Daphnia pulex: one gene and its partner. The protein of the gene in region 1 binds, or shares a complex with, the protein of each later gene. Links are inferred from orthologs where the notes say so. Each region holds a gene or a part of one and is shown on either strand. Other genes may lie near its edges. The genes, in order: GATOR complex protein NPRL2-like and nucleoporin SEH1-like.

Region 1 (16,383 bases):
AATTTTTTCGTGATATTGGCACGAAAATAATAAACAAGTAAAGAGAGAGATGAAGTGGGGGGGGGGGGAGCCTATTTAATGTAATCAGATATGCGATTTATCACCAGCGACTTTTGCGCTCCCGTTTGTGGCCTCCCGTGGCTCACGCGCCCCCGCAAACATCTACGTACATCGTCACGCTTTGATTCTTTTTTGTTTTCAACACGGCCATCGTGAGTTGTACATTGGCGACATGAAAAAAAAAATAGAAAGAATCACGTTACAGCTCCTCTCGCGTTTTTTATTTGATTTTATTTTGTTGCTGACGGGGCGCAATCGTCCGAGAAAGACATTCGATTCGGGACATTTCGGGATCGCCGGATTATGTGTGTATACGCGCGGACCTTTTGATCCCTTGACAAACTCCCAGAGCGTCAATTTTTCTGTTTGATGAATTTTTATTTTTTATTTGATTTTTTTCACGCAAACAACGTAATAGAATCGAAACAAAAAAAAAAGGGAGGGGGGTTTCTAATAACGTCGACAGAGTCATGTGTGTGCGCGCAATCAAACGGGGATCGAGTGTCGCATCTATAAAACTCGCCGTGTGATCCCGTTTAGCGTTTGGATTTTTATAGAGAGAAAACGTATTCAGAGTCGCCAAACATTAAAAAAAGGAACAAAAATGACGGAATGGTGTCGATTGCACATTTCCGCAACGACGTCTACTATTATAATACGCGGAATCTGGAAATAGATCTCTTTTTCTTCTTGTGTCTACCGCCGTTTGGGTTCAAAATGTTCCGTTTTTTCACAGTTCATTTTTCATTTGTTATCTCTTATTTTTTCTTTTTTTCAGAAAACAACAGGAGAGAGTAGAATAACATATAAGAGAGAAAGATACTAGCGAGAAGCGATGCCGACAGCCCCCCAGTTGAAAAAGAAGAAGAGGGGACGAGAGAAAAGAGATGGAGAGTGAACGGTTAAGCGACAGTGAAAGGGAAACAACATTTGTCTTGGCTTCATTAAGTCTCGCAGCCCAACAGTTGTCACTTCACTTTTGGCCAACACAGAAAAATTTCAAAGACCAAAGTTGCTGCCGTTCCATTTATCTTACAAATGTTATTTCTCTCTCCCCCCCCCATCCGTATGGGAAAAAAAATGAATAATTGTTTCATAGAGAAAAATAAAGGACCTTGTGGTGCCCTTGTGTGGGGGCACCGTCTAATAAGAAATGTTATAAAATAAAAATGTTGGAGGAAACGTACTTGAACTCTGGCTTCGCTGAGGCTGACCCGTTTGGCCAAATCTTCGCGGACGAAAGCGTCCGGGTAGTGGGTCCGCTCGAAGACCTTCTCCAACGCCGACAGCTGGGCGCTGGTGAACGTCGTCCGGTTGCGTCGAGGCTTCTTGCTACTCCCGCTGGACGACACGTTGGCCGTCGACGGGTGACGCTGATGGGAGTGGTGTGGGTGGTGGTGGTGGGACATGAAAGGCGACGAAGGCGAAGAAGATGAGGAACTGCTCCTCTTTTTGGCGCTTTTATCGCCGCCGGCTTCTGATTCGTCTGTAATTAAATTAAATTAATTTGATTAAGTTAATTGAGTTCATTATTTTTTAAAATTTACCGTCGCTCTTGTCGGTGGCGTGGGACGACGTCTCGGAATCGTCCCTGACGGACGGCAAAAGTCCGTGCGCCTGGAGCGGCGGCGACGGCTGGTGGTGGGCCGAGGCGACGGTCATTCCGACCGGGTGACTCAGCGGGTCGCAGCCGGTCGACGCGGAACTTCTCCCGATGGCCGACGGCGATTCCATCTGGTGATGATGCTGGATGAGTCGCGTCACCGAGAACCTTTTTAAGGTGTCGGCGGCCGCGGCGGCGGCCGCAGCCGCCGCCGCTGCAGCCGCTGCCGCCGCGCAATTGTCGTACGGCATCGTCACCGGCCATTGCTGATCTTGTTGTTGCTGTTGTTGCTGTTCCTGCTGGATTTGCTGCTGCTGCAGATGGGACGTCATCTGCTGTTGGTGCGATCCGCCCAGATACGGTAGAAAATAATCACTTTGTTGTTGTTGTTGTGGTTGTTGTTGGTGGTGGTGTTGTTGCTGAGTGTCCATCGCCGACGGCGTTAGTCTCTGATAATTCCCAGCCGAGTTGCTGTTGTTGAGATTGTTGTTGTTGTTGTTGTAGTAATTGGTAAACTTGTCACTGGCCATCGTCGTCACGTCCGTCGGCTGGTGATGGTAGGCCATCATCGACGGGCCGCCCACACCGCCGCCGGCCGAGAATCGTTCCAGGTAAGTGTTGACGGAAAGGAGATCGGGGCCGGCCGTTCCAGCAGCGCCTTGACCGGCACTCGCATTGAAAAAATTCCCGCCAGACGACGAGCCCTGACTTGCTGGGCCACTGCTGTGGTGGTGTAGGTGGTGATGCTGGGCCGTCGCCGCCTGGTTGATGCGCAATGTGTACGAAGCCATTTTCTCTCCAGCCAAAAGGACCCGACACTTCAAGTGTCTATCAAACTACTGAATGTCAGTGCAACAGAGTGGCCCGGCTATACAGCTGTACAGGCCAGCAGCCATATAGTCCGTCTTGACTTTTTGACTGTGAGAAGCTGAGAGCCCCATTTTAGGCTCCTCCTCTCCCTGGGGCTCTTTAACCAATAGGACAAACCCCACACGCCCAGTATCACCGAAAAATGTTCGCCACTCGCTCCTATCCAATTTTTTCGTCTGCTATTTAGTTTACACACGTCTTCATATTTAAAAGAGATAAAGACATTCGATGCCTGGAGGGCTCACCACGTAAGAAAGGGAAATGTTTGTTTCTTTGGCCCGGCAGCTATTATAAACCAGCGGCATTGATGAACGGCCCTCTGATTGCTTGTGACATAATGACGCGGCGGCGGGCAGACGTGATGGCTCTCTCCGGGTCCCGCCCCCTGCCCTCCCTCAGGCAGTTCTATACCTAATACTGCACCGGACCTGTATCTATCCCCCCCTGCAAAAGAATTCCACCCAAAATATAACATCATCATCATTTACACGTTAAAAGAGACCCTGCGGTGATGGGCGCCAAAATGAATTTGAATTTTAAATATTCAAAATTCTAAGTGAATTTTTTTAAATCTTTTGAATTTGACTCGAAGAGACAGTCGGAGACAGTTGAATCGATTCCCGATTGCGTGCAGTTAAACATTTTATTGGGAATGAATTTGAATTAATAATATTATTCATCGCCGTTTGTTCCGTGTATTATTTATTGGCAGACGTTTGCTGCGCTGATTCTTTTCCATCGTCGCAGAATAACTGCCGGCTCCTGATTGTGTTGCCTCGGGAAAACTATCCGCCCTTTGATGGCCGACTGTCAGGAGCTCCTCGAGGGTTAGACAGACGTCGGTGTTCCATCAAATGCGACGCGCCGTGACGGAACGCCGTCGAAATTCCCGACAGACTCTTCAACCGGCCTCCCACACAGACACAGACAACATAATAGACCGGGCCCCTTTTTGAATCGTCGTCCTTGCCCCCGCCTCTACCACCACCACCACTACACAACCGTTGACGCTTTTCGATGATTCAATAAAAATAGAAAACAATTTCAAAAAAAGTTCTTGGCTTCTCTACTCATTAGTCCAACTCAGTCACCATATCCATCTCGTCGGCCCGTCGTCGTCGTTGTGTATGTCCGTGCGCGCATTCCAAACGGTGGGCCAAAACGGATCATGTGAAGAAGATATCAACAGCTAACATTTATTATTAATCATCAAAGTCAATTATAAAAGAGAAAAAGTCGCGCGGGCTCTCATTAAAATTCAAAAGAAAAAGAGTTCATCAACTTATTATAACTTTTAGTTATTATCTATTATTATTATTCGAGTCATTTGGTTTATACATGTTTTATAAACAGAAAATTAGCGCAACTATACTTTACTACGTATTTACGTTATAGAGCCCGTTATTAATGAGGGGCCAAAGTGTTGAGCGTGATTCAATTGATTATAGGCGGCACGCGGACCTGTTTGTATTAGTCAATTATCTCCGAGTTATTTAAGAAATTTTAACTTTTTTTAAAAAGAAAAAAAAGAGAAAAAAATACGAGACTCAAAGTATTTAAACTCTGGGGGTATGTACTATGTAGAATAAGAGAGAGAGACCCCCGGTGTCGCCAGTACGACGCCAGTAAGTCCCCCGTGAAATGCGATCCGTGGCCGGCCATCAGCAGCACAGGCCGTTTTTCTTTGCGCCGCCGATGACTATAGTATATAGGCCTTTGGGTATATAGACTGTGTAACTGTACGACTCTAGCTGTTCAATTCTAGTCGATGAAGCATATCTAATAGACTGCAGTGTAAAGAGAAAAATAAAATCCCCAAGTTGATGGTGTCATCGAGTTTGGAAAAGAGAAACCGAAAGTCTATCGTAACACACACTATACTCGAACAGACATTGCGTCATACCTTTTGTTATACACCCAAAAGTCATAAAACTGTTGATCATTTTGGAGTCACAATCATCAGACATGGGCCTGTACGATAGGCTGTCGAAATGAATATTTCTTGTAGAGCCGATGATATCGGATCCCCTCCATTGAATAACAGGCCATCAATTTCAAACTCAACTGATTGTGTAAATGAACGTGGAGAGGGTTTTTCGAATAATATTATAATTTCTTCGGGATCGAATTGCGTCGATTCGACTCCGCAGTCTAAACTCTTATACAACACCACCGCAGTCTGTCTATCAATTCTAATGGCCTTCCGTAAAAGGTTATCAAGAGGTTATAGGGTTGTTTTGCGCGCTGCTAGCAACACGAATCCTCTCATCTACACAACTTGAATATAACGATCGATATTATTACCAAAAGTCTAAGCTACTACATCGTTAGCTGGGCCATAGAGAGATTAACAGTTCGTTCCAGACATTCTTCGGATAATTTTTCCACGGGCTCCGCAAAAGGTCATCTGGGTTGGTCCTGATGAGAGCGCGGTGACCTCTCAAAAGAAGAAGAAGATGAGCCATTCGGACACACGGCGTATCAGTGTCAACTGTCACAAACCCCCTCCATTGAGTTTGACTGGGCGTGTCGCACTCGTCTCCCTTTCACTCCGCTTAACTTCTCCTCTCTAGGCCTCTGACTGGATAGATGCGCATCGATCTGACGACTCGAGTGGATATATAACGTCATCCTCGTGCTATACAACCCTCCTTAGTACTTACTACTTCTACTACATGAGTTTAACTCGATCCTCATGAACAAACCTGCATAGTCAAGGTCTCAATATCGTTGGAAAAAAATAGGAGATGATGTTATTGTGTTTGTTTTTTGGAAGGGGGGGACCTACCATGGAGGTCAACAAGTAGAAACAGCTGATGATTGAGTTGTTATTCTCCTGGCGCCACAAAGTATATGTACGAAAAATTATTACAACTGTTAAAGTGTGTGTGTCTATAGGCCGAGTGTAAATAATTTAAATGGTCGGAAGTCAATACTATCTAAAGTGCGGAGTTGTCGAATAGTAAATCATCCGTCGTAACATCTTCTTCGACTTCCTCCCCTCTTGTTGGTTGCATGTTATTATGCGCACCACCCCACCCCACCCCGTTTTCTGTGAACTGGGACCGACGGGAATTTCTTTTTACTCCGCGACGGAAGAGAATAAAATTTGTGGGTCTCTCCTTGTCGCTTTCGATTCCGGTCATTCCGGCCCGTCGCCCGCTTTTTTATTTATTTCCCTCCCTCCGTCTGGACGATGGGGAAATTTGCTAATTCCCAACATCTTAGCGGCCTGTTACGTCGACGTTCATTCAAATGATGACGATTGATATTTGCATAATCATCGCCGACTGTCAACAACTCTTGATTTTGATTACATTTACTTCCTATAATGATGTTAGAGTGCGAGATCTGGTCTCTCATTCCGGTCCGTCTAAGATGACACTACGGCCGTTCAACTTATTTTCTGACCCTTTTTTTTTCTCAATTGGGTTGTTGACGTGTTTAATGGGCGGGGGTTGGTGCTGTTTTATCCATGGCATTATTCATATGGACGGATGATTGAATTAACTCATTACGGCCGACGCCATCCAGCGGGCACATCTACCGTGCCGAATCCGAGTGGTCGATGACTTTGCCTCGTCTGCTGTCTGCTCTGGGCATTTCATTGGCGATCAAGTGACGGGCATATCCAGCTAGGAGCCAGTTCAACGGCTCCTATTTCAGCAGATTCAACTCGACTGACTATAATGTACAGAAGAAGAAGGTGTTCAGCGAAAACAAATCGAGTTCAGCTTCTTCATTAAAGTGTGAATAACCTTTTTCAATTTTAAAAAAACATTATTGGGGCTAGACAACCAAACTCTTCCGGTTTTGGATATGTAATATACTCCGGCGCATTACAAATAAACAAATCAGTGTCCTATTACCGCAGGCCTATATAGGCCCCACCCCCCTCTTCCGCGTAGTACATGGACGACACGCGACTTAAATGAATGAAGTTAAGGGCGAGAAATTCATCCGTCAAAAAGTTGTTGGATGAATAGATTCTTCTTCCAGTTAAGCGCTGACAAAGAAGTTTTTGGGGTAGAGAAAAAACCCGATGGTGAGGAGGATGGCGCGACAGGTCATATCCGGGCGCGAAAAAGGAGACCTGTGTCTGCTGTGTGTTGATGGTGGTGGGTGCACGAACAAAGTAGAAGAGGATACGCAATCTGGTTGTGGTCTCCATTTTCCTTTTTTTCGTTGCCATTCGAATAAGACACACACAGAAAAAAATAACTCGACTCCATATGTGTTTGTGTGTGTCTCTGCTGCTGTGTGTAACCGTAGCTAACACAAACTGCGCGCTCAGGGGTTATGTCTACACGACGTTATAACGGCCGCGACTATGTGGAACCAGCAACACACACAAGTCTCGGGGCCACAAGAAAAAGAATGATGACCTGCAGCATGGGGTCTCCAGGCCGTTTGCTGCTGCTGACATCGGAGTTTTTCCTAGTACATAGGAAGAAGAAAACAATCAGCTAGGGAAGGAATACGAACGGGTTGCGCGCCTGCGTAATGAGACGAGAAAATAGTCTTGAAAGGAGGGGTGGGGGGTGGAAGGGTGGAATATGACAGGCACAATGTCGTCCATCAAACTTTTTTTCAAATTAGCACGTCCCTCGTTTTGGTAAAAAAGATTTGGTGGTTTTACTACCAGCAAAAACTATATCGCGTGTGCTTTTATCGGCCCCTATGAACTCCTGGGCGCCCTCAGACCGGATTTGCATATTTGTGGGCGGTTGGGTGGGAGTGCAACGATCGATTGATGAAAGTAATCCAAGTCTGTGGAAAAACGACACAGTCATCGGGCGACTAGAAGCTGAAAATGGCGGCGTATTATTAATGGACGTCGATTATTGATAGCCATCGCTAAAAACAGCCGAGTGTAATCGACCATTTCCTCACAGCAGCAGCGACAAATTCGATATCTACGCATATCACACATGTACAGTTTAAGATCTACGGCGTATAGGGTTGATCGCGTCTACTAAGGAAATCGATCGACATTTAATCGCTCCAATCGGCCGGCTCTCGGGTTCGCCCAGCAGGAAGTTGGGGTGTAATATTAAACTGGCGGAGCCTATAGTATTTTCTATATAATTATTATTCCAAATATCTGAATGCAGAATAATTAAACCAATTCAATTATGTGTACATAGTAAATAATTAAAAAGAGTTGAATCGCCAAACAAAAACATATTTACGCTTTGAGAAGTGTCCGTGTGTAGGAGAGTAGCAGCAGCAGCCCCCATTGAGATAGGCCCAAGTGGTGGGTGACCGTGTGCGTCGGTTTAACAACACTTGTCGACAAGCTTGTCGACTCCTTATCAGCATAAACTTCTTGGTTGGGGTTTTTCTAAAAAAAAAAAAGGAAACACAAAAAAATATGTTGTTAAACAGCAGCTAGCCTGGCGACGCTCTTATGTATCTTTTTGGGAGCTACTTTGAAAGAAACAGTAGCAAGAGAGGCTTTTATCTTTTCTTTTCGTGTTATTTGTAAAAAGAAAAAAAAAAAATTCTCTGGCCTCCCGTCGCCATGTTGATGCGTGTAAATCTTATTAGGGTTTTTTGTTTTTTTGGGTGGCGGCCAATGTGGCATAGCTACTACGCTGGTGGGAAGTTCAGTCCCATTTTTGTGTGGGGTGTGTGTGTGGGGGCTTCTATTTTCTTTATTGTTTGTTTTGTTTCTTTTTTCGTCTATTTTTCCCCCCGCCGTTTTAACAGCCGAAAAGATTGTCAACTAGCCGACAGATTTACTGGTGTACCTTCCAGCCCGCGCTCTCTATACGGCTGCTGGAAATATAACTCGCCCGCGTGAGTGCCCCCCACCTTGTCTAGCGCAAGGGGAAACGGTAAAAAAATAAATTCCACAGGCATTCTACTATATAACTCGCTCGACTTTCAAGACGGTGGGAAGCCAGCAATGACTCCTAACGAATCGCCAAACACGAAGGCGGGCGTTCCCGTTCATCTCTCGACACCGGGGCAGCACCACCATCCCAAGTGGCGTGATAACAACGGAGGATCGAGAGGACTTGGTGGGTTGTGTGTGTGTGCAATCAAGACGGATCCGATTGCAAACGATGGGGAAAGACGTGCAAGGTGATCCTCACCAACGACCGTTGAACTTGCTGCTCCTCCACAATCGAAAAGAAAAAAAAAGTGGCCATTATAAAATTTATTATTGAAACTTAAATCAAATGATACAAAAAGATATGGGGTCGGAGGGAACGGATTTCACTTCCACAGGACGCAGATGTCGACATCGGCTTCGATTTTGTCGTCCAGTTCGTGGTAGGACAGTCCGGTGCGGCAGCAGATCTCGTCGTAAGAGGCCACTCCAGTGCACAGCCGATGCAACGAGGTCATCTGTTTCTTGTGCGATCCGCGCTGCGTCTCCGGTTTGTACACCGGATACTAGCCCATTCAAACAGCGTGCAAATTGAGTTATCAGTTCAATGGGAAATGGGTTATTCGAGAACCGACGTCCAGGAAGAAATCGAAATAATCAATTGGATTAATCAACAGCGCACACTCGCTAACCTTGCAAATGCGGCGGATGATGCCCTGCAGGACGCCAAACTGGACTAGCCGATGTTCGTCGATGCGAAGCGCGTGCGGATTGAAGCGCAAGCACAGGTCTCTTATGGTAGTCCCGTACGTCATCCCACTGTCATCGATTACAAAATGAATTCATTTAGGGGGGATTTGATAAGAATTAGAGGATAAACTCACCAGTACATTTGGAAAACATCTCGGAAGGAAGGAGGATGTCTATCTGTAATATAAACGAGAGAAGAAATTCACAGTCAACTTGAAAAGTGGATAAGATGATAACAAGACACTTGGTATTCTTCTCTACCAGATTTGGCAACAAAAGCGATGCACTCTCGACTCAAATCTGAATTCATGGGCAGTTCTCGGAGTTTGGGTGTAGCGGCGTACATGTTGCTGTACTGGAAGATGGGAATGAGCTGGACGACGCCGTAATATCTAACCGAAAAGAGAAAATAAGGTCAAGAGAAGGACAGCACTTGACTACTATATCAATTGACTTACAAGAGATTTTGAATGCAGGCTTTGACCAAACCAATGTCCACGTCGGCCTCGATTGCCACTCTAGCGACATGGCTGCGTCCATCAATGTATGGCAGTACCTTACGCACGAAAAAGGGTTATTAAAATGAATAAAATAAGAGAATCATTTTCGTTTACCTGTTTGGTTGTTAGGTCCCAATAGTCTTGTTTTAAAGGAGAAAATTCTGACGTGAACACGGGAACGTGGTGGTCAAATACCAGGGGTGGCTCAGCAGCTACTTGGATCACTTTTAAGTGCAGTGTTGAGGTCCCAACTGATCAAATCAATTTGTAAATGTCGGAAACGGAAATGTTAGACAAAAAATGAGAATCTTCATGTACCTACCTGTAACTGTGCACAAGCCACCCCGATTGAGATCACTTAGAATTTGACCTAAAATTTTGGGCAACTTGGCCCTGTTGGATTCAGTGGATAAAAAATTCTGTTCAACTTCCAGGGTGACCAAATGCTCAGCTAATTTCCTAACTACAAGCTCATACTGCACTGTTCTGGCATCAGAGTCACACACAAAGCACAAGTTGAAAATGAGAAAGTTACGTGGGTATTTTTCATCTGAAATGCGCACTGGATATCCTGTAGGTTTTAGAAAAAAGGATGGTAATGAGTCAAAATACTTGGACTGTTAGAATTCTTGAATAAAAACCTGTTATCTTGTGCCCTAGTACATTCACTGTAATGATACAACTGTCCAGCTGCTCTTTAGGAATGATGTAAACACTAACTGCATCAAATATTTCTTTGGAAACATAATCCTCTGGCACCTTTTAATCGATATTAAGACAAAGCACTGAAACAACAAAATTACTTTATTTTACACACCACTACACCATTACCTGGTAACTGATTTTGGGCCCCAACGTAGGATGAAACTCGGAAAAAAATATTGCTTTGATCATTTTTCTATTTGATTTACTCGACTATATCACTTGGATAGTCAACCTATGAAAAAGGATTTCTTTAACATGAGTAATTCACATTAAAAATCAAAAAAATTAGTTAAAATGATAAGGAACACACAAAATCGCCCCTTTATTTGATTTAGGCTACCGTCTGAAGCGCCATGTGAGGTCTTGTTTACAGAAACGCCACCATTTCAAGCCATCACTTATTTACAGGGAAATTTTTCAAGTAACGAAGTTATAGTGATTTAGGTCCAAGGCACTTGAATTTGATTAGTTTGCAATATTCGCTGATTAATCGGACCTGGAAAAGTGTCTAAGAAATGACCATTTTCTGCCTCTCAGATTACACATAAACATAAACATCAACGTCAGCGCCGCGTAGCGACAATCTTATCGTCTTTCATCACAAACTGTTTGATTACGAGTTTACGACCGAAGTTGGGCTGGGGCGGGAGGGGCAGCACTAAAAATTTACGAAAACGAAAATTTGAATTTGAACTGTTTGATTACGACCGGAGATTGGGCTTGGCAGGGGCGGGACCAAGGGCCAAGTAGTCCAGTCATTTTAGCTGAAAAATATACGAGTATACCTAGAACAAATTTTAATTAGAAATTTTTCATGAACACTATTTCTAATTTTTTTTCTTTAATTACCAATGAAGGAGGACAAAAGCGACCATTTGGATCGTTTAAAAAAATGTAAATGAAAATTTGTAATTGGGAATTAGGGGTATAATTATAACGATTTATAAATGTTTAATACATGTAATCATAGTTTATCTATCAATAAACATGTGTTGCAAATTTGAATCAATTTGATTGACATTTACTATTTTTTCATGAATTTATTAGTTATACACATTGTTTTTTATTTAAGAAATTTTTTCGCCGTGTTTAACACGGCGCTTATGGCGGAATCCCAAAACTAAAAATTCATACTACATAAGAAAAAAAAACACCCGAAAATCCCCACTTAGTCTTATTTTGAAGCCCGTTTATCCTTCTTTACTTTTTTCAATTACATTTATCAAAAGTAACACAGCAAAAAAGTTATTGGAATAAGAAAAAAATACCCTTTTTCCAGTTTTACCAAATGATTTATAACACACCCACAAGGGGGACATTTTTTGTTGCCGCTGCAACTTTATCTCGACTAAAAAATGTCCCAGTGTCACTATCAGCTCTTGTTTGAGCTTCGTTTTTGTGGCCGAAGTGTCGATGAAGATGACAGCTTTCACTCCTCATGGCTATTGGCAGTCTCGTTGCAATTGCTACGATGCTTTGGTCAGTCATATGGGTCTGGTCTGGGCAATAACCACTTACACTATGGGCGTAATAGCTTCATCGATGATTCGGGAACTTTTTTTGGTTTAATTCAGAAACCAAAATAGTTGAAATGATTAATTACCAATTCAACTTTAATTGCTGTAGCGTCAGAAATTGGGTGGACAGCATCATTAGTTTCAGCAAAGTCCAACTAAAGACACATTCAATGTGAAAAATAAGTACAAATTATGAATACAGAAATACAACATACCTTATTGTCAAAAGTATCTGATGTTACCGGTACATCTTCAATTTCAGGTGCATCAACAGTCACGTAGACAGCATCACCATTTGCAGATCCTTGGTCCACCTAAATAAAATAGAAATAACAACATTATTATTAAAGGTTAGATTAGGTTTAATTCAGGAACCAAAATAGTTGAAATGATTAATTACCACTGCTGTAGCGTCAGAGGTTGGGTGGACAGCATCATTAGTTTCAGCAAAGTCCAACCCAGGTAGCACACAGACTCTGTTTCAGGTCTGTTTCAGATCTGTTTTTGAGAGTCTGTAAATTGTTTGGAGTGGCACACTTTTACAGACTGTCATACAGGTCTGTGACAGATCCGTAAAACGGGATCACGATTTACAGACCAAAAACAGATTTTCAAGAAAAAAAAAGATTTGCCTCCTTCTGGAATCGAACTATCAACCTCTGAGTTCACAAGCCAGTACGCTAACCACTACACCATAACTCGATATTATGTTCTAGATATATTTCATAATGATGTATATTTCACAGTTGTACACTTGTTCATTCAACAAACAGTCTGACATGTCTCTCTCACGAAACTGATTGCTACATATGACTACCACTGGTCTCTTCCGATAGTAACAAGACCAAGATTGGCCCCACACCAATTACAAGTCTTTATTATACCTATTTATGTATAATAATACTTCTCCGTCCGGTGGATAAACAACTATTGTTGTTGTTCGAGTAGGCCTACTGAACTAAACTCATAGCCATTAGCTGCATTGACTATTAGAGTGTAACTTCTTACTGCATGGTATTGCAGTGATATTACACATATAAGAAACGTTTAATTCAGTTTTCCATTGGGATCCAAACATGTACCATACTTGGGATACAGACACAGATACGATGATTACTGACTTATAGGTGTTACAAGGGAAATAAAGACCCGTACATACCTGGGGCACAAACACAGAACAGATAATCACTGAACTAAGTTTTACATAGAAAATACAGACCTGTACCATACCTGGGGTACAAACACAGAACAGATAATCATTGAACTCAGTTTTACATAGAAAATACAGACCTGTACCATACCTGGGGTACAGACTCTGAACAGATGATAACTGACTTATGTCTTACAAGGGAAATACAGACCCGTACCAGACCTGGAGTACAGACACAGAACAGAAACATATTGTACTCGAAAATACAGAGTAAAAACAGACAAGTGACAAACATGGGAAACAGAGCTAAATCAGAAACAATTTTCTCAAGTAAAAAACAGATCTGTAACAGGTCTGTAGTACAGTTAAAAACCAGATTTATGTATTACAGAAAGATAACAGATCTGTTCCAGATCTGTGAAACAAACTTTTACCAAATCCTGTAAAACAGAGCCATTCCAGACAAATTTCCTGTAAAACAGAGATGTAACAAGCCTGATACTGACCTGTTTCACAAGTATGTGAAACAGATCGGTTACATGAGTCTGTAACAGCTCTGTGTGCTACCTGGGAACTAGACACATTCAATGTGACAAATAAGTACAAATTATGAATACATATATAAATACAACATACAGTATTGTCAAAAGTAGCCAATGTTACCGGTAGCACATTCAATTTCAAGTGCATCAATATTCATGTGGACAGCATCACTCTTTGCATATCCTTGGTCACCCTAAAAAAATGTTCAATGTAGCAAGTAAGTTAAGTAAAACACATAAATAAAAATACAACAACAAAAGTTAGACAAGTGGCTGTTCGACCAATAACTCAAGGTTCTTGGTGAAGAATGTTGGATTTGGCCTAGTTTGTACTCATCCGTTGACTGCAAATATGCTCATAAGGCCATAAGGGGCAACTAATTCTCCTGTCACGTCTGCCAACAAAACCTGCCTGTAATTCTAGGTATAACATTTTTAATTTTTCCAAAAAGAATTTTATTTGCAGCAATGAAATTAGAACAAATGTTTTGGAACATAGGGTAAACAGTTTTGAAGGATAGTTAGGTGTCACTCAGTGACTTAGTCGGTATCTAGAATTAAGATCTATTGTCAGTAAAAAAAATTGTTTTTTTTGTGTGGAAAACCTACCCGAAGCACTGCAGTACTTTTGAAAATCCTTGACCAAGTTAAACTTTTTTTAAAATTCTTTGGACCACGCTTGGTCAAACGACGTTTCCTCATACGGCTGGGCCCTGCAACATCCGATTTCTCTAACTCTGTTTATTTATTAATTATAAAATATTATAATCATTCTATATTAATATCTATGCATTAACCGTTCTCACCCCCAGACTCCTTCTCTCCTTCAGCCTTGGCATTGTACTCCACTTCTTTAACGGCTTCTCCCATGTGAGGGTCTGCTTCACCAGATTCTGCTTCTCCAACCTCCTCATTCTTTCCTTCAGCATCACATTCAGCTCCTCCAACAATTCCACCATCAGGGTTGTCAAGAGCCTTGACATTTGCAACTTCAATGGCCTCATCTGCATCGGACAAAAGTGGATGTGGAGGGACTGAACTTATGAACTATTTAGTTTTTAAAAGGTTTTACCATTTTCTTCAGGATCTACGCCATCAGAACTTCCCTCCTCAACAACAATAGGCAAAACATCAAAGTCTGCGTCACAAGATACATATTCATAAGTCTCCATATCCAGCCCTGTAAAGAATGTCAGCCTTAGAAAGTAATTTATTTAATGTTTAAGTTGTATTACTTGGTTCCAAGCACATAGGGCATATATGCCCTATGTGGGGTCTATGCACATCGTAGAAGACCAAGCGTTGAATTGGTTGTTTTATTTTCATTTTGTCTATAATTTCTGAAGAAATGAAATCTTTTAGTACTACTATCACTTTTTTATGTAGTTAAAACTTACCACATATGCGATTGGCTTCCTTTATCTTTTCCTTTAGTCCTTCGTAGAATTTTTTTCCCGCTGGAATGCGTCGATCATGCTGGCTTGGGACATTTTCCAAAGGATTGTTTTCTCTATTAATCCCAAGTCCTTTAAAATATAGAATACAATTAATTTTTTGTCACATGTTATTTTTATATTGAAATTATTATTTATGTTGTAGAATAAAATACTTACAGTAAATGTTTCATTTAAAAATTGTGCTACTAGAACTACTAGAACTGCTAACTAGAACTGCTACCAGAAATGGACTGCTATAGCAGTCCATTTCTTGTTGAAAGCTTGACACCTGAAATAGGTATTTGCACAATTGTATTGTTTGGGTATTATTTTAAATTACTCGTAAATAAAAAAAAACTTACGTTGGGCAATTCCACAATTCTTCATCATCTTGATTCATTCTAGGTTTCTTGTTTTAAGGCAAATCAAATTATTTGAAAAGTAATACAACAACTTGGCTCGGGAGTTCTTTTTTTACCATTTTCCCCTTTTTCAGATTCTTCATTTCCTTTTTCTGCCTCACTTTTTTGCAGTCTCAGCCGGCTAAAGGTCTCGTCGTGTCTTCCTTTTCGGTCTGAATGCAACATGTTTATTTAATCGAAATAAAACATAAAAAGTTATTTATATTTTACAAGTGTTTGTATTTAGACAAACAAGAGACATGTAAAAAGTTACACAAGTGGCTGTTCGACCAATAACTCAAGGTTCTTGGTGGCTTCCGCGAGCTTTTGCACCGCCTGGTCTCCTTGCGGAAGAGTGTTTAGAGCTGGCTGTTTTAGCGCCTCCTCTTCGTGCTCTGCTTTAAGCAGCAGTTCTGGCTCGGACTCTTATTCTGAGTTAATCCAGAGGCTTGATCTTCGTTGGATCGGGCCGGGTAGCTTGGTCGTTGCTGCTGTGACTGTCTCAATTTAGCTACTTATGCTGAGGCCTGAGTCGTGGCCGGAACAGGGATTGGGGTTTCCTTGAGGAGCTCCAACAAAGTGAGGCAGATTTTAATTTTTGGATTGTTGGAAGCCGACACCGAAAAGGATATTTCAAACATATTAATTACTTGGGTAAAATTATTAATTTCCCTTAAATGTTTAAAACTTGCCTTGGACAATGCCATAATTTTTCGTAAGCATCTTGATTCATTTAGTAGTTTCTTGTTTTAAGACAAAACTATTTGAAAAGTAAAAACTTGGCTCAGGAGTTATTGTTACCAGGTCAAAATTCAGTTGGTTTCTGTCTTCGCGGTGGGCCTTGGCTTGGTTCTCGTCAAGTCTTACTTTTGCCTCCTCTATCGCGTCACACTTCCTCTTTTTGCCTCGCGAACCTCGATTCGTCGAGCGTTCGCTGCTTCTTTATCCTCTCATTCTTTCCTTCAGCATCGCATTCAGCTCCTCCAACAATTCCACCATCAGGGTTGTCA
Region 2 (16,173 bases), on another chromosome or scaffold:
CATCAAGGGTATGCCACGCGTCAAGGACGTTGCCGTGCGTCACGGTTGGCACCTAGCGGTGTTGTACCAAAGCGCAACAGCCGCTTTGGTCCCAACCCTACTCACCCGATAAAGCAGTGAAAGACATCTATAGGGTATTTGCAGGAATGAGGGAGCAGATGGAATTCAATACAATTTGAATCAGTTTTTCACGCTGATTCTCACACTTTTTTATTTTATTTTTAAAATTAGAAAATCCCCACGTAATCTCTTCAAAGTTGAGACGAGCTTCATCTAAATCACCCTTTTTTGCTTTTTGTCTTTCGCCTTTAGGCCCTAAGGGCAAAACAGGGTTGTAAACAGCCATAGGCAGCACAAAATGGGTTCTTTTTAGGACGAGTGACCCACTCGTCCTATCCATTATTGGGTGGTTTTTACCAATATTTTTTTAATGGGAGACAATCGAGTGGCACTACAGTGCTCTACTCACTACACCACTTGCTATTGCTTTTCTATTGTATTTAATTCAACGGGTTTGTAATATTTTTGTACAGCGGCTTATCTTTCGTCGTTTTTCATTAAGTTCACCGCATCAGCGCTAGGTGCGCTCAGACTTGGAAGAAGTCCGAGGGGGGTGGAATAGAGTTTGAAGGAGGCATGTCCGTAGAGGACCCATCAAGAAGACGCCATCTCCGAGAAAATCTTCCGCCATATGAGTTGGACAACCATAAGTAATGGCTCTGATATAGGGCTCTTTCAGATCTGTTTTATTTTGCCGTTTTATCTGGCAACGCAGCATGGCGCCGTTCCTTTTTAGCGCGAGAACGGGGAGAATAGGGAGAATGGGACGAATGGGGGAGAAGAGGAAACGTGGGTCCCCTTTTTTTCGTACGCCCTCCTCCCTCCCATTCGTCCCATTCTCCCTCTTCTCCCCTTTCTTCCCTCAAAAAAACGTAAACAACGCGTTTAAATCATTTTTCACAAGAAAACGTGAATTCAAAAAAAATTACATCAAAATATTCCCTATTCATTTACCAATTTAATCACTGCTATAGATTTGTTCAAAGATACACTTGGAATAAACTACACACTATATTCGAAGAGACCCTCAAAAAACCCATAAGAGCTACTCAAAAAGTCAACTTAATATGGCCGCCGCGAGGTTTCCATGGCTGGGGTATGCGTCATTGGTTTGCTCTATTGGGTCATTCCATCCCAACTCGATTTTTTTCGTCGCGGAAAAAATAGAAACTGATGATTTTTTTACAGTGTGTTTCTTATGCATCGATCATGCACTCTATGAAATCTCAGATTTTTAATTCGAACAGGAAGCTGTGAAATTGGAATCAAAGTTTCCGGTTTTGCATTAAATTTGCATGCGTAAATAGTGGTTTTGCTCGTTTTTCGACCATTTCTACTTACGGCATCAAAAAACAAAATACATGGAAAAATCGGAAATAATTCAGATTTTCCGAATCTTTATTCAAAAATTTAATTATGTTTTATTCAGTTACCCTAATACTAATTTTTAATTTTAAATGCATTCAGATAAAATCTCGTTGGCTGTAGAGATTTGAAATTTTTACCGAATATAGAAATCGATAATGTTTAACGTCATAAAAAATTTCCCCGTTGGCCTGAATTAGTTATGATTTATTTAATTTTATCAGATAGCCCTATCCTCTAACATAGGACAAAAGTTCTAGAAGGGGGAGAGGCCCCAAGGGATATGCGTCTAGGGAGTTGCCCAAGGCTCGGTTAAGGGGAGGTCCTGTGTTAAGAGAAAGAGCTAACTTTTCATTTTAAATCAATGATAACTAATTCACGCTGGTCTGGCGGACGCTGAAAATTGTTATGACGATAAACATTATTGATAGGAGAGCGCAAAGAAATCCATAAAAAGAAAAAACAAATGTGGAACTTGCCGCCAGGGGTGATTTTGGGAGGATAGTTTCCCATCTGCTGCGAGTGTCAATGCCCGGCAGAAATCGTCGATCAAGTTTGCGACCGTTGATCAAGTTCCCGGAATCATCCAGGATACATCCTATCATCGAGTAACTGAGATCGCGGCGGCTGTTGATCAAGTGTTTCTGCCGGGACATTTAAATTGCCATTATGTGGACGTTGCGGAGTGCATTCACTTCGACCAATCGAAATCATTTTTGTCTTTTTCCTATGCGCAAACCACATCGGGCGAGCCAAATAAAAATCTGCTGTTCACGGCACCCCTTCATACAGCAACGCGCCGCTAGGGTGTCGGCTAGACCCATTTCTTTAGATACTAATAAGGTCTATACAGGCAATTCACATCACGGTTTTGCGTGTCAATTGTTTCGATCAATTGTTTCAGAGAAATGTTGAAAATCACAATTATGTTTTTTTCCTGTTTTTTAATAGGCTAAAATAGAAGAAAAATAGAATGCTAGTGAAATTAGAAGAAAACATCGTAAGAAGTCAAGCTAAAATAGAAATCGGGAATCAATCATGGTTTTCTTTGCCAAGTTACGTCTTCCAAATCGATATCGAACAAATTGAAGTGCCTAATATTTGAAGGATTGTTAGTTGATCTATTTTCAATCACCAAGTAGTTCTCAATTACTTTTACTTACTTTAAAAACGATGAAAACTGTAAGAGCAGCAGTGAGGTAGCTATGGCAGTACACATCTACCAATGAAAAGAGCAGCATTTCAAAACTCACCAATGTCACTTCATTGCCGTAGAACAAAACGGAATCGAAACAATTTCTTCCATCTGCAAGTACAATAAGGTGGACATGTTATAGAATGCACCTCATATTGACGAAGTATGTTTGATCGAGGTGTACCGTTATAGAATATAGATCGCTCATTTTGCGACATATTCCACCACATTTCTATATCGAGTACGGTTTCCAAGAAATGTCTATCACGCACTTCGTAGTCGAGTTCCCTGAAAGCCTGTTTAAAAATAAGCCTTCATTTGTACAATTCAGTAATATTGTAAAAGGTTGATAAACCTACATGATCCAGGAAAGATGTAAAAAATTCATTCAGCTTGAAAAATAGAGTGCTGGTACCGCTAGACTGATCCAACATTATCAGATCAATTGAAACGGAAAGTAAATAAAAGTAAATAGACGTCACCTGATTCTTTATAAGTTTTCTCCATTTATCTGAAAGAGTCTCGTGGAAGAAAATGGAAAACGTTTGAGTGTCTTGACCCTGAACAAGACCTCGTTGAGCGCACAGATTTTCTTCTTCCCTTTGTAATTGTTGACACATGGTCTGCATGTCGATGTCTGCAAATCCATGCGGCGATCTAAATGCCCGTCAAAAGTAAAATATTTGAATTGTTAATACCAAGAAAGATTTAAAAAGTTAACTGAGAAGATAAGGAACCTTCCGTGAATGTAGAAGCCGTAGCGCGAGTGAATTCGAAGCCAAACTGATATGTTTGAAAGTGTACAGACATCAGTAAATCGTTGGATTTTGTGCTCAACGTAACGTTCGAAGAGCGCGGCATTCAAAATATTTTGCGCTAGGCTGAAGAAGAGATAGGTGGACAAACCAAGCGCTAGGCGCAACACTGTGTTGTAATTTAAAAACGTGTCTGCCATGAAATAAGTAGCTGGAATTTCTAAAGAAAATCGCTCAAACTGGAAGACCTACCAAATGACTGGTGTTTATTTTCACGCTTCATTATAATCACAGCTCACTAATTATACCTTGAGTGTCGATAACACTAGAATGACCTGTATGGATATAGAGCTTTTACGCGCTACTTGAAGTTCGTTCCATTCGTTAGCAACAAAGAACATCCTCCATACGCTAACTATTTCGCCTTTCGTCGGCCTCGGACTCTCCCAGTCAATAAGAAAAATATCGACGTTACATTGTTCTCCGATCATCCATAATACACTAATCGTCTGCAAAGGATCCATAGATACAATCGGATACAATTAAAATGACCTGACTATGAATAGTTCCAATTATTTCAGACCTTTAACGTGAAAGCACTAATGACAAGGTCTTTAATAAACTGTTCTTCTTGCCTTGCAGGAAGACTAACAGTCACTTCCTCTTGTTGTCGAAAGGTCATAAACCAGTAAAAAGTGATGAAGAAAATCACTATTAAAATTACGTTGGCCAATATGTCTGCTCCGTAGACCAACAAGCGAATTAGAGTCTGAAGATCAATTGTTGCTTTATCTGATCTTATGTACCTGGAAATTATTTATTATTAGTGAAAACCCAATCAAAGTTAGCTAATCAAATTATCCAAAGTTGCCAGTACATACCATACGACAATCCTTATCAAAGCATAAAGAGCCCCGAAAGTGCTCAACACGCTCAGTGCAATCTATTGATAAACCAAAAAATTCATTATTGATAACGTGATTGTGAATGCGAGGAACAATGTGATAATTTCTACCTCAAGAGATTTCATAGCTTCATCCATACTAACGGTATTTTTTACAGCGAAATGAATAACGGGTGAATTTCCATTCTCAAGGCTACCAATAGATTCGTAGTTGATTGTTGCATAAGGTAATCGTAATGCTAGTGATTTTTCACCAGACATAACAGAAATTCTAAGAAATGCGTTCAAGTTTCAAAGTTGTTCTCGCTTTTTTTTTATAATGAAAAAACTTACCTAATAGTAAGAGAAGATAGATATCGGACGAAGTCGGTGTTTCCTTCTTGATTACTTCCAGTTGCCGAGTCAAAATTAAAGAACCTCTTTGTGAGTTGCCATCGAGAAATATCTTTATCCTCCTTTGTTCATCAGGTTTTAGTACCGTAGTAATGTTGTATTTTCTGAGCGTATAAACTTACCCTATTACGTTGAACGCCTCCGCGAACAAGGTTCAATATTTTTATTGGAACGTTGATCAATCTTGATTGATTAATTGCCCGATCAACGAAATAAATTTCATAAAAGCGCATATCAGCCATGTTGAAAACTTTCGAATAAACCGAACAGCTGTGATAAATATTGGCATTTCGTTGGATTGGTTTCCAAGTTCCAGTGCAGCACAATGATTTAAAAACCGATTGAAGAGGCTGGATCAATAAATATGTACCATCTAATGCGTATTGTTTAACCATAAAATCCATTTTCTAAAAAAAGTCATTAATGAAAAACTTTTCCTGTTTAGTCCGTAAAAGTTATAGATGCTACTTGATCTTTCAGTATGTTTATCCTGGCGGAGTTTAGTAGATATTCGTTTTGACTATCGTCGTAGTATATTGAATTGCTAAAGCCTCCAGATAATTGTCGATAAAGAGAGCAAGCTGACTGAGAATCGTAGTTGTAATCCGTTAAGACACAGAGATTGATCAGATGTTCGCAGTATTTTCCTCCACCGTGTGCCTTTAAAGAAAAAAAATTGGTGTTTAATAGCACAAACATGGTAAATAATTCCTACCTTGCATTTAATTGCCGTCAATCTAACCCAATTCCGCAAATAATTAGAAATGTAAGGTCTCCCGTGTAAGTTATATGTAAAGATAGTGGGTGTTTCGGGAATCGTGAATAAATCTTTGACGCAAGTTCCGTTCACATCTTCGTATTCACTAGGACAATGACACATGTTCGAACAAGGAACGCACGAAGATTTTGTGTCATCAGGCTGATGCCAAAGCGGGCATTTCAGACATCGTGCGGAGGTAATATTTCCAGTAATTTGAAGGACTGTGATAAAAATTCAGAAATTAATTCTTCTTTACTATACTTAGCAGATAGGACCTAGGTAAATGTGCGTTTTTCATACCTTTGATGTCGTACGGTTCACACGTGAGATTGCTTTTTAGACACATTTCTGACTGAATTGATTGGTTACAGCGTAAGCATTCAATTGCTTTGGACTTTTCATTAAATTCAGGGTAGTAGCCAAAGCCACACTCACAACTCAAACGGTCATCGGAAGATATTTGAAAGACCCCGCAACCTTTGCACTTATGTGATATCGAATCAAAGTAGGAGGAACGATTGCAGCTTTCAGGAAACGAAGACAATATGACATCGTAAGCCTCCACCTTCTTTAAGATGAAAAAAAGCAGGTAATGAGCAACTAACACGATCATCGTCACTTTAAATTTTTGTTTGTTTTGTAAAGCATATTTGTTACCTAGCAACCACTCCCCAGCAATGAGCCAAGTCAGCCAACCAACAATATCAGAAAAAACATCGTTTCTTTCATGAATCAATCTGGCAACGCCCACAACTGTCCCATACTGCCATAGTGCCATACATTTGAAGTTTGATCAGTCGAGCTGTCGGCTGCTTGCGTTCTTGCTTTCTTAATTCTGTGAAATTTGCAAGCAAAAACTTGTTTCTCGTGATTAAGAAGTGATTTAAAAAGTTCTGTAAACATGTTTCAAGCAAGAACGATAAATGCTGAACACAAAGACCTGATTCATGATGTAGCTTATGATTTTTATGGGCGTCGATTGGCTACTTGTTCCTCCGACCAGAGTGTTAAAGTAAATTGTTAGAAATCGAAAAAAATTTCTTGTGTTAACTAAATTGCGGAATTATCTTTCAAGGTTTTTGACCTGGATGAAAATGATGAATGGAGATTGACTGCTGATTGGAAGACTCATGCTGGTTCTGTTTGGAAAGTAAATTGGGCTCATCCTGAATTTGGTCAAATTTTAGCCACTTGCTCATTTGACAGAACAGCTGCAATTTGGGAAGAAATTGGTTTGTAAAATTCTTTACAATTTTAACAACTTAAATTAGTTACTAAATGCATATCCAGTTGGTGAATCAGGGAATTCAACGCAGAGTAAAAACCAAAGTCATTGGGTGAAAAGGACAAGTTTGGTAGATTCAAGAACCAATGTGACTGACATCAAATTTGCTCCAAAACACATGGGACTATTGTTAGCTATGTGTTCAGCTGATGGAGGAGTAAGTTCTAAGATATATTTATTACATTGTTAAATATATAAACCAGATGAAAATGTCAATTTTATAACATAATAGGTTAGAATATATGAAGCCCCAGACATTATGAACCTAAGTCAATGGAGTTTGCAGCAAGAAATAACACTGAAAATGCCTGTGTCTTGTCTATCATGGAATCCGTCATTTTCTCGTCTCCATCCTCCAATGTTGGCAGTTGGTAGTGATGACACGAATGTCGCCTCTGGTGGAAAAGTGTTTCTGTTTGAGTACAGTGAAAGCTCCCATCGCTGGTCTAAAGCTGAAACTATCAACACAATAGTCGACCCAGTGCATGACATAGCATTTGCACCTAACTTGGGAAGAAGTTACCACATTCTAGGAATTGCAAGCAAAGATGTTAGAATAGTTATTCTTAAACCACCTCAGTAAGTAGTTAAAATATTTTAAGGATGGAATAAGAATAAATTTATAATTTTTTTTATTAAAGGAAAGATGCTTATGCAGCAGCTTGTCCAACTTCCCAGTTGGAGATACTGCAGGCAGCCCAATTTGATGACCATCATTCTACTGTTTGGAGAATCTCTTGGAACATTACTGGAACTATTCTAGCTTCTTCAGGAGATGACGGCTGTTTAAGAATGTGGAAAGGCAAGAAATCAAGAAATATTTAATGCCATGTCTGGCCTATTAAATCAGCTGTTTTTACTGTCTATTTCCACAGCCAACTATTTGCAGAATTGGAAATGCATTGCCGTGTTGAAAGGTGATGGATCGGGTGTAAGTCCAGAAGACGGAACTGATCGTGATAAAACCGTTTCTGCAGCAACTGCTCGTTACTTTAAACTTGGCGCAATCAGCAATCCAAATCAAGTACCCTGGCACTAACATTTACTTCCCAATTTTTATGATAATAATATGTCTCTTCCAATCCACACAAATAACTGGGAGTTTTCATTTCTGGAGAAACCCATGGTCTCGAAAATGGAAAGTTGTTCTGAAGAAATAAATGAAATGATATGGAGTTTTAAACTATGTCATTTTTTCATGTCACATTCGTTTAGGGTCAAGTTGTTATAAAAACACTTTTCTCTAGTAGAGTAGCTATTTGTTTTTTTGTTAGGAGGGAAATGATTCAAATGATTTGATCATTTTCAGCTGCATTACTGCATACATTTACACATCTCTAAGGACATTTACAACAATAAACTGTAAGGTCATTTTTGTGATTTTTGACAAAAACTGAATATTACAAAACTCACCTGTTAGATTTTTGCAAACGTTTGTTTTTGTCTACCTCCAGTTTAAAAGTCAGTAGTTCCGTAAATATTATCAGTAAGTATTATTTTGACGCAAATAAGAAAAGAACTAAGGATTTGTGATCTTCGTCAAATTTTGGGTCGATTGCATGTGTCTGTAGGAAATATAGGAAAATCATCCTATTCGTGATTTTCCCTAAACTAGTGATAGCCATCACAAAAATTTACGATTTTAGTTTTAAAAAAATCATTTTTAAACATGGGAAATTGAGCTATCAGTTCCTTCCGGTAAATTTGTATAATTCTAGCAAGTGAACTTCATTCTCTTTACAGTTTTTTTTTTTAGATTTGAAGTTAGCAGGTTAATACAAATAGAAATACGCTGTTTAAGTGTTGTAATTATCTAGATGGCTTAATTAGTGGACTGCCTCGTCGAGTTGCATCACAGTTTGCATGGGTAGATATAAAACTGTGTGTAATCAGCACGATGACCGAAAATAGTAAAATGCATCTTTGGTACCTAAGTGTTAATTAAAAACAAAGCGATCAGTTTTCTTAATATTATCTGACAAACTCTCAATTTCTCGGATCTCATACTTCATGCCCTTTTTACCTTGTTAAAATTGGTTAAAATCAGACGAAAACATCCTATATTAAATAACAACAATGATAAATCTATATAATTGACGAGTGAATACGGCTACAGCTATATCTTGTTCGTCTTTAGTCTTACCCGTAGTTACCCGCAGATAAAGTGATGATATTCAAGTCGATGACTACAAACTAAATTGGGACTAACTCATACAAATTCATGGAAATAACAGAACTTTGCCAAGTTTTCCGTTTATAGCATTACCCCTTATATTTAAAAAACTTTGTTCGTTTGCTTCTTTTATGAATCTTTCAGAACACAAGTGCAAAAATTTTCAATTTTGCGGGGAAATAATACTCTGTTGCTTAGTTCGGCATAGCTATAACACAATATAGGGTGTGCGGGTGCGGCATGTGAAATCACTGTCCATCAACCGTGGCGGCTGCATCTGTACTTGTTAGCTCATAGCCATCGGGCAGATGTATAGGTGGCCTACCAATTACCTCCGCTGTCTATTTCGATGCTATTCACCTCAATGATCACAGCATGAAAAAGCCATACCATTCTTCTCGCTTTACATCCCCCGAAACCAATGTGATATGATAGCCTAGTCTTCCAGTAACACTGGTTATTGAGGGTGCTAGTTGCAAGCTCCTCCCTTTGATACATCTATCTTGTCGACTAAGGAAAACCAAAGCCGTTCGCGGGTCAGCCATCGGTTTCATTAGTTAGCAAGATTGTCGCCCAGTGATGTTGAGTTGTCGGAGCTCTTACTCAAGCAAATCTATTTAGACGTGTGCATTATTTCGAACCTAGAAGATGGATTCCGAAATGATCAACAAAGAGCAGGAAATTAATCAAGAAGGTTCCACAACAGAGGAGTCCACGATTAATAAAAACATTGTTAGAAACAGACTGCCGCAAGAAGGAGTTTTCATGGCTGCTGTAGACAAACCAATCGAGTTAATTACCGTTAGGCCGAAACCGAAAGTTGATTTCAGCATTGAAGCAATCCTATCGTCTCGAACATCTACACCATCAGCGATTGTTGTCACTTCATCGGAAATCTTCACCTCCGAATCCAAGTCGAGGTCCATCAGCGATCACAGCGATCCCAACTTTTCCTGGGTCTATTGTACACGCTACCGACCTCCGAAGCTTCCACGTGAGTCATTTGTAACACTGTTAATAGAGATAGAGACATTTTGTTAACTAATGTAATATTTCTAAAGGTGCTAAAAGAGAAATGAACTTAAGGAACCGTTACCGTAATCCGCGCATACCCTTCTCTACAACAGAGGTGGGGGCATTGGAGAGAAAGTTTCTGCAGTCTCCTTATCTTGGTAGCAACGACGTCAACGAGTTGGCCGCGGCACTCAACATGTCCCCCAAAAGAGTATGTATTATTTTCAACTATCCATAAATATTATGCTAAATCTAATTCTACTTTCATGTCTAAAACTGCTGCTGATTAATTTAAGATTTTTTAATTATTATCCAACGTACGAAATTTTATGTTGAAATGCAGTCAGACCATCTGATGATCCGTTACAGTATGTGTGTATCTGTTGCTTTTCACTACAAAATTTAGTTTAAATTGAAAAATGTGGGGGGTGATTTACCTTTCGAGAAACGAGAGCGGAAAAGTTTTTTGTTAGCGGTAAAATGAATCCAAGCAGAAAGAATGTTTGTGTTGGGCGCTGCTCTTTTGTCGGTAATCTATTGAAAGAGCGCAATCCATTCAAATGCAGGCAACCGTGTGCTAACACGCTAACCAATAAGAAAACCATCATGTTTGTTGTAGGTATTGTGCAGCTTTAGCCCCCATCGACGTGACCTAATACTAATTGAGAGAGTAACATACTGTATCATGATAGAATATCCGTACGCGTGCCGACAGTCGGTATCGAGTTTCAACCGAAACGGGTCCTATCGAATTCCTCTCACATTACAAGTTTTCTGGTTCTTTCAACGAACTTTGTAGACTGTTAATGTTATCAGTTTCGAATCCGATTGACTGTGAACAACCTATTTATTTGTTTCACCCTCTTTTTTTTTTATCTCTAGGTAAAGATTTGGTTTCAGAACAGAAGGGCTCGCGAGCGTCGTGAAAGGGAAGTTCAATAAAAACACACGTACGTCTTTAAGTTTCGTGTATTGGAGTGAAGGTGGCTACGTTTCGAATCCACGGTCGGCGATTAACATGCAAACAACACCAGCAACGCAATTTCTCACTTAGCATTTGTGACCCATTTGAGTTTGTTTGCGGACGGGATGTTTGTTTGATGAAAAAATGTACAGCCAACACGAGTGCAGTTTGATCCATACTTGCACGCCTAGAATAAGAAATTTCAATTCGTTCATCATTTTAAGAAATTGTAACAATTATTTACTAATCATGCAAAGTATAAATTATGTATCACTATTCGGGAATACAAACATTTTGATATACAGTAAAACAAAATAAAAATTGTGCTTGCTCAGTTAACTTACCGGAGGATGGAAGAAAAGACAGCTTACATTGTTACAGGATGGGAAAAACTTGCAAACCGTTTTGCCATTCACAACCGGTTGCTGCTGATGCATTTTTGCTGAAGGTTGTATTATCTTTGGTGCAACAGAAACGACAACTTGAGATCGTTGACTGTGCGTATAAGGGCACGATTTCCGAGTGCAAGTAGTGTCAAATTTGCATGGCGGGTGAATAAATAAACAATTTTCGCCAAATAGACAAATCGGAAAATTTCTGCGACGAAGAATATATGTAAGGAAAACGAAATGTTGAAAATTCAAGACAATGAACCTTACTTGCACGGGGTTTTGGGGTGGTGGAAATGGCAACGGTCTCCTTGACGGCAGTTTGGATAAAATTTGCAACGTTCCAACGTTTGTTGAACTTCAGCCTCAGTGCCTAGATGTATAAAATCAAAATTTGTTATTAACACGTGAAAGAGACATAAAGTGAAATAGCAAAAATTGTTACCGGTGCTACGTCTTCGAAAAAGCCGGGTTTTAACTGGCTTCCGCTCGGCATCTTTCATTTCGGTTGCATCATCGTCATTCAAGTCTTCGTCAAAGCATCGGCTCATTAAAGAGTTTACACCGTCAAGGGTGACAATGAAACGTGTCTCGATTGTCTGGATGTCGAGTGGTGAATCAACGGGGCTTTCCATTTGCTCATATGAACTTTCGTCAGGCACTTCTACTTTGGTGAGAACTGTCTCTTGAGGTTCCATTATGGCAAGGTCAGTATCTTCAACAATTGCGGCAGACGGTTGGCTATCAACTTCCATAGCGGAATCATCGGAAACCTGGCAAACAGTAGAGTTTGTGGTATTGACAGCAAGTGTTTGGGGGTTTAGGTTCTTTTCACGATATTTTCGAGTGAAAAGCGCTGGTAGAGACTTGGTCTCAGGTTCCGTAACTTTAGGTGGATGGGAGATGACAGACTTCTGTGCCTCAGCAACAGCTTTCAGAATCAAACAATTTGTGGCTTGCATTTTTGCTGGTAATTTGCGTCTGAAAACGGACAGATACAGATTATGAACTAATGGACTCATCTATTTTCAGAATTAAAAAAAATTGCCTGGCTGTGACACGAACAATGCTGTTGATTCCGGTTTTGTTATTAAAACTTTCTTCGTCTTCTTCTTCTTGTTCGTGTTTTTCAACCTTCAGTTTTGTACGTTCAACAGGTTTGATTATTTGACTGAGCATAGGTCGCACCACGGAAACAACTTGAGATGAGATGCGGCCGTCTGTTCTTCGTGGGCGACTCCTTTCTTCTCTGCGAACTTTTTTAGCAAATCGATCTTCGGAGCTTCTGGTTTGTCGCCGTTTTTTCGGATCAGAAAGTGATGACTAGTAGAAAACGATGAATAATTTAGAAATGAAACGCTCACATTCAGAATAATTATTCTTACTTGATAGTTGGCGGATGATGCTGAATTCCTCTTTTTCAACAGTTTATCTTCAGAACCATGAAAATCTTGTTCGATTTCCTCCCTGATGTTGAGGCAATCATCATCCATATCTCCTTCAGGAGAACGATGTACTTGTACTGAAGGTAGTGAGTGTAAAGAAACAGGCATTGGGACGTATGGTTCCTTAGATTCAAGATTTGATGGAATATTATGGCTTGATGTAGCATTATTATGAGCCTCCATCTGATTTGATTTTAACAGCCGGGAAGGTGATTGTTTGACTATGGGAAAGGGATTTTCAACTTTAATCGGAAGGGAACATACTTCAACTCCTGCTTTTGGTACTACAGAAGTTACTTCTTTCACTTTGTCAGTAGCATTACTACCACCAACAAAAGCCTCAAGCTTTTCAAGTACAATATGTAGCCAATCTGTAAATTTGTCTGTGTGGCTTCCAAGAAAAAGAGACAATTCACTTGTCATTTGGCTCTTAGATCTCCTGTTTGCGATCATCACCTATTAATTACAAAATTTAATAAAATAATTATGTAGTATGAAAATAATTCACATTTATATTTGGTACTGTACCATTATGTAGTCAGGTAATTCTTCATCAACATAAGCCCCAATCTCTTGAAGTTTTGCTTTCACAGCACATTTGATTTTGTTTCGAATTTCATTTGTAATTCCTTCCATTTTTATAAAAATAATCTTCTCCTTAAACAAAATCACCAAATTCTAATACAAAGTCTTCTTCTGAGTTAGTCAATTTTTAAAGATTTCTCTAGTTGAAATTTATATAGTCCCGTTTTATTTTTTGTTGTTCGCTTGCAGCCGATGACACGGGACTGGAAATGCTGAAATACGGGATGAAAGCCTCTTCTTCCTAGGCTTCTTTCTCGTGAAAAGCGCACTGCGTGCTGCCGCCTGCCGCGTCGGCGTCTGCATAGTGCATATGAGCATAGCACAATGCAGAGCATAGCACAATCATAGCTCTGCAAAGTCTTATTTGTTAGTTCATTATCGTTAATCAGGGGATAAACCACATAATTACATAATGTATGTACTGTATACTGAATAACTGATAAGAGCTTGTTTTGCACTGGCATAGCCAAGTCATTACTCTGCTATGAACTGAAAAAGTAGATAAATAAGTCAGCCAAAAATATGAAATTTAAGAATAAGGTAATAAAATTTAAAACCATCAAGACATTTGAAACCAATTCACCGAAACGCTTCACCTGTTATGCAATCAACGCTGTGCCAAAAAAACATTTACAGTTGTGTGTGAAAAACGTCTACAAAATTTGACATTTACAGAGCGTACACATAAAAACTGAGTAAAATCCGTCTAAGATAGCAGAAATTATGACTTTCAAGCTGAACAGGAATCTATTTTATTAATATGCATTAGTGATCTTGTTTGCCAACGGGATTTTTTTCGAAATCTCATTTTGAAACCGTGGGCGACTTTTATTTATTGGTGATATGATAAAGCCTACCACAGGGTATAATTTTCACTCGGACCTTTTTCAACGTCACTGGCTTGCTCAAACTTTTGTTGCCGCTTGCAGTTGATAATGAAACGGATTATATGGATTAAAAATGTCAAGTATTTTTAATGCTACTTTGTGATATGCAAGGTAATGTGTGAACAGGGCGTGTGAGTGGGTTGATTCCCGTTTTGCTTCAATATATAAAGGCCAAAATTTTAAACCAAATTACACACCAACTTCTTCTCTGCTTCCGTAAGGTAAGAACCGTTTTATAATTTATTTTACTCGCCATACTTATCTTAATCTGCCTGTGTGACGAAAAAATGTTAAACGGTGTAAAATGAATTAGTTTCAGACTTTCAGTCGTATTGAAAATGAAAAACTTCGCGTCGTTCGTTTGTCTGATGCTCGTATTGGTGGCTTCCACCTCCGCTTTGCCGGGAGTCGCTCGCGCTGCTCCACAATGTCCGGAAAACGAAGCAGGCAACGTAGTTTTCTTCCCTGACACTACCAATTGCCAGTGAGTACAATTCATGAAAAAAAACACTACCCATTTCTCAAAGACAATATGCAATCAAATAAATAATGACTGTTTTCTCTTGTTCTGTGAACCATTTCCAGGAATTACTACATGTGCTCGTGGGGCGTTGCCTACTTGAAAAATTGCCCAGGCGAACTCTATTGGAACAAAAACATTAACGTTTGTGACCACCAAGCGAACGTCATATGTTAAACAACGAATGCAATCGAAATGACCCACACGTATTGACCATTAAAAAAAATAAGAAATGTGAATTAAATGGATCATTTTAAAAATACAATAAGTGAGAAGTGATGAGCATCAGAAACAGAAATCGTTGTAACTTTATTTTTTGTTCAAGATTTCGTTCATGCAAATTGGCACAGGTGAATAGTCTTAGTCTTACCGTCTTTTAAAATTTATTCGTCGGTGTTTTTTACGGGTGCATAAAAACCAATTAAAGTGAGATATGATTTCTGAATTCGAGCCCAACAGGATGGCCATTTCTAGCACACGTATTGTGGCATCGGTAATGAATAAATGGTTGGATATTTCGCAATACGTTTTATTGCACAATGGATGAATATAATTATATTTTATTGCACTGAACTTCCCGACAGGAGAATTTTCAATGTAGCACTCGCCACTGAATTAAATCATTAAATGGTTAAAGGTAAATTGGAGACTTGCGTAAGGGTAACTCCCTTATTTCAAGGACTCCATATAATATTATAAGCCGCCAAAATATTCCATTGCCCGTTATCTCGAAGTAAACACAATTTACTAGATTCAACAGCTAAGTTTTAAAACTGCCACGATAGCCTGCCTCACGCAGTGCTTATAAAACAAAGAGGATTCTCTATCAGCTTGTTGGTGCTGATGACCTTTCTCATTGTTATTGATAAAAATGCTATTTTACCTCTGATCCTGAAAGACTAGACGATAGGGGAGAAGAGTTTTTGTTGAGCCTCGGCAACAATAGCATGTAAACGAGAGTTTCATGATGACGAGAGAGGATGACATCGGATCTCGAGCTGTCCAAAAGATTCCGTCACCGACTCGATACTTTTCTGATTGTGTCGGTCTATCCAAAGATGTTGGTAGGGAGGAAAGGAGGAGGAAATATAAGAGGCGACTGTTTCGGTCTGTTGTTTCTTGACGGAACGCGCGCGAGCCTATGGCACTACACGGAAGAGCCTGGCCTCGTACCAACGAATAGTTGATAATTGTCTTGCAAAGCCAAAAAACAAAACAACCACACCGCCGCCTCCTCGCTGCCGTTTTTACAGAGGCAGAGATGGATAACTGCTGAGTTATTTTTATATAATGTACACTTCTTCTTCTTCTTCTTCTTTTAATACTTGTAAATGTGTTTAACCTTAGAACCACCCTGGTTGAAGGAGAAATGCGTTGCCCAGATATTTATGTATTGTACACAAAATACAACAAAAGAGGCTAATGATAATAATAAATTACTAAGACTAATAATACGCGTGGCGGTATTTATTACATTCT

What was found.
Region 2: GATOR complex protein NPRL2-like (region 1) and nucleoporin SEH1-like share a complex: the UniProt entries of both Drosophila melanogaster proteins name them as parts of the GATOR complex. The link is inferred for Daphnia pulex from reciprocal best matches to the Drosophila melanogaster genes Nprl2 and Nup44A.

The regions. Positions count from the first base shown.
Region 1 is NC_060028.1:1,948,809-1,965,191, forward strand, and holds GATOR complex protein NPRL2-like, read right to left. Parts: upstream 10,904-16,383; 5' UTR 10,638-10,903; exon of another isoform or gene 10,560-10,637; 5' UTR 10,517-10,559; coding exon 10,454-10,516; intron 10,382-10,453; coding exon 10,264-10,381; intron 10,194-10,263; coding exon 9,945-10,193; intron 9,874-9,944; coding exon 9,737-9,873; intron 9,679-9,736; coding exon 9,581-9,678; intron 9,515-9,580; coding exon 9,384-9,514; intron 9,300-9,383; coding exon 9,257-9,299; intron 9,192-9,256; coding exon 9,065-9,191; intron 8,939-9,064; coding exon 8,759-8,938; 3' UTR 8,685-8,758; downstream 1-8,684. Other genes in the region: pituitary homeobox 2-like, read right to left, coding at 1,248-1,546, 1,608-2,454. UniProt on the Drosophila melanogaster protein: An essential component of the GATOR subcomplex GATOR1 which functions as an inhibitor of the amino acid-sensing branch of the TORC1 signaling pathway.
Region 2 is NC_060020.1:7,744,707-7,760,879, forward strand, and holds nucleoporin SEH1-like, read left to right. Parts: upstream 1-6,158; 5' UTR 6,159-6,333; coding exon 6,334-6,444; intron 6,445-6,507; coding exon 6,508-6,664; intron 6,665-6,722; coding exon 6,723-6,874; intron 6,875-6,949; coding exon 6,950-7,296; intron 7,297-7,358; coding exon 7,359-7,519; intron 7,520-7,592; coding exon 7,593-7,756; 3' UTR 7,757-7,900; downstream 7,901-16,173. Other genes in the region: meckelin-like, read right to left, coding at 2,439-2,519, 2,589-2,731, 2,805-2,916, 2,980-3,042, 3,103-3,277, 3,358-3,623, 3,684-3,884, 3,959-4,181 and 7 more; zinc finger CCCH domain-containing protein 14-like, read right to left, coding at 10,951-11,055, 11,213-11,465, 11,528-11,630, 11,703-12,238, 12,306-12,580, 12,643-13,158, 13,231-13,338. UniProt on the Drosophila melanogaster protein: Probable component of the nuclear pore complex (NPC). Involved in maintaining the localization of another nucleoporin Mgtor to the nuclear envelope of early meiotic female germline cells.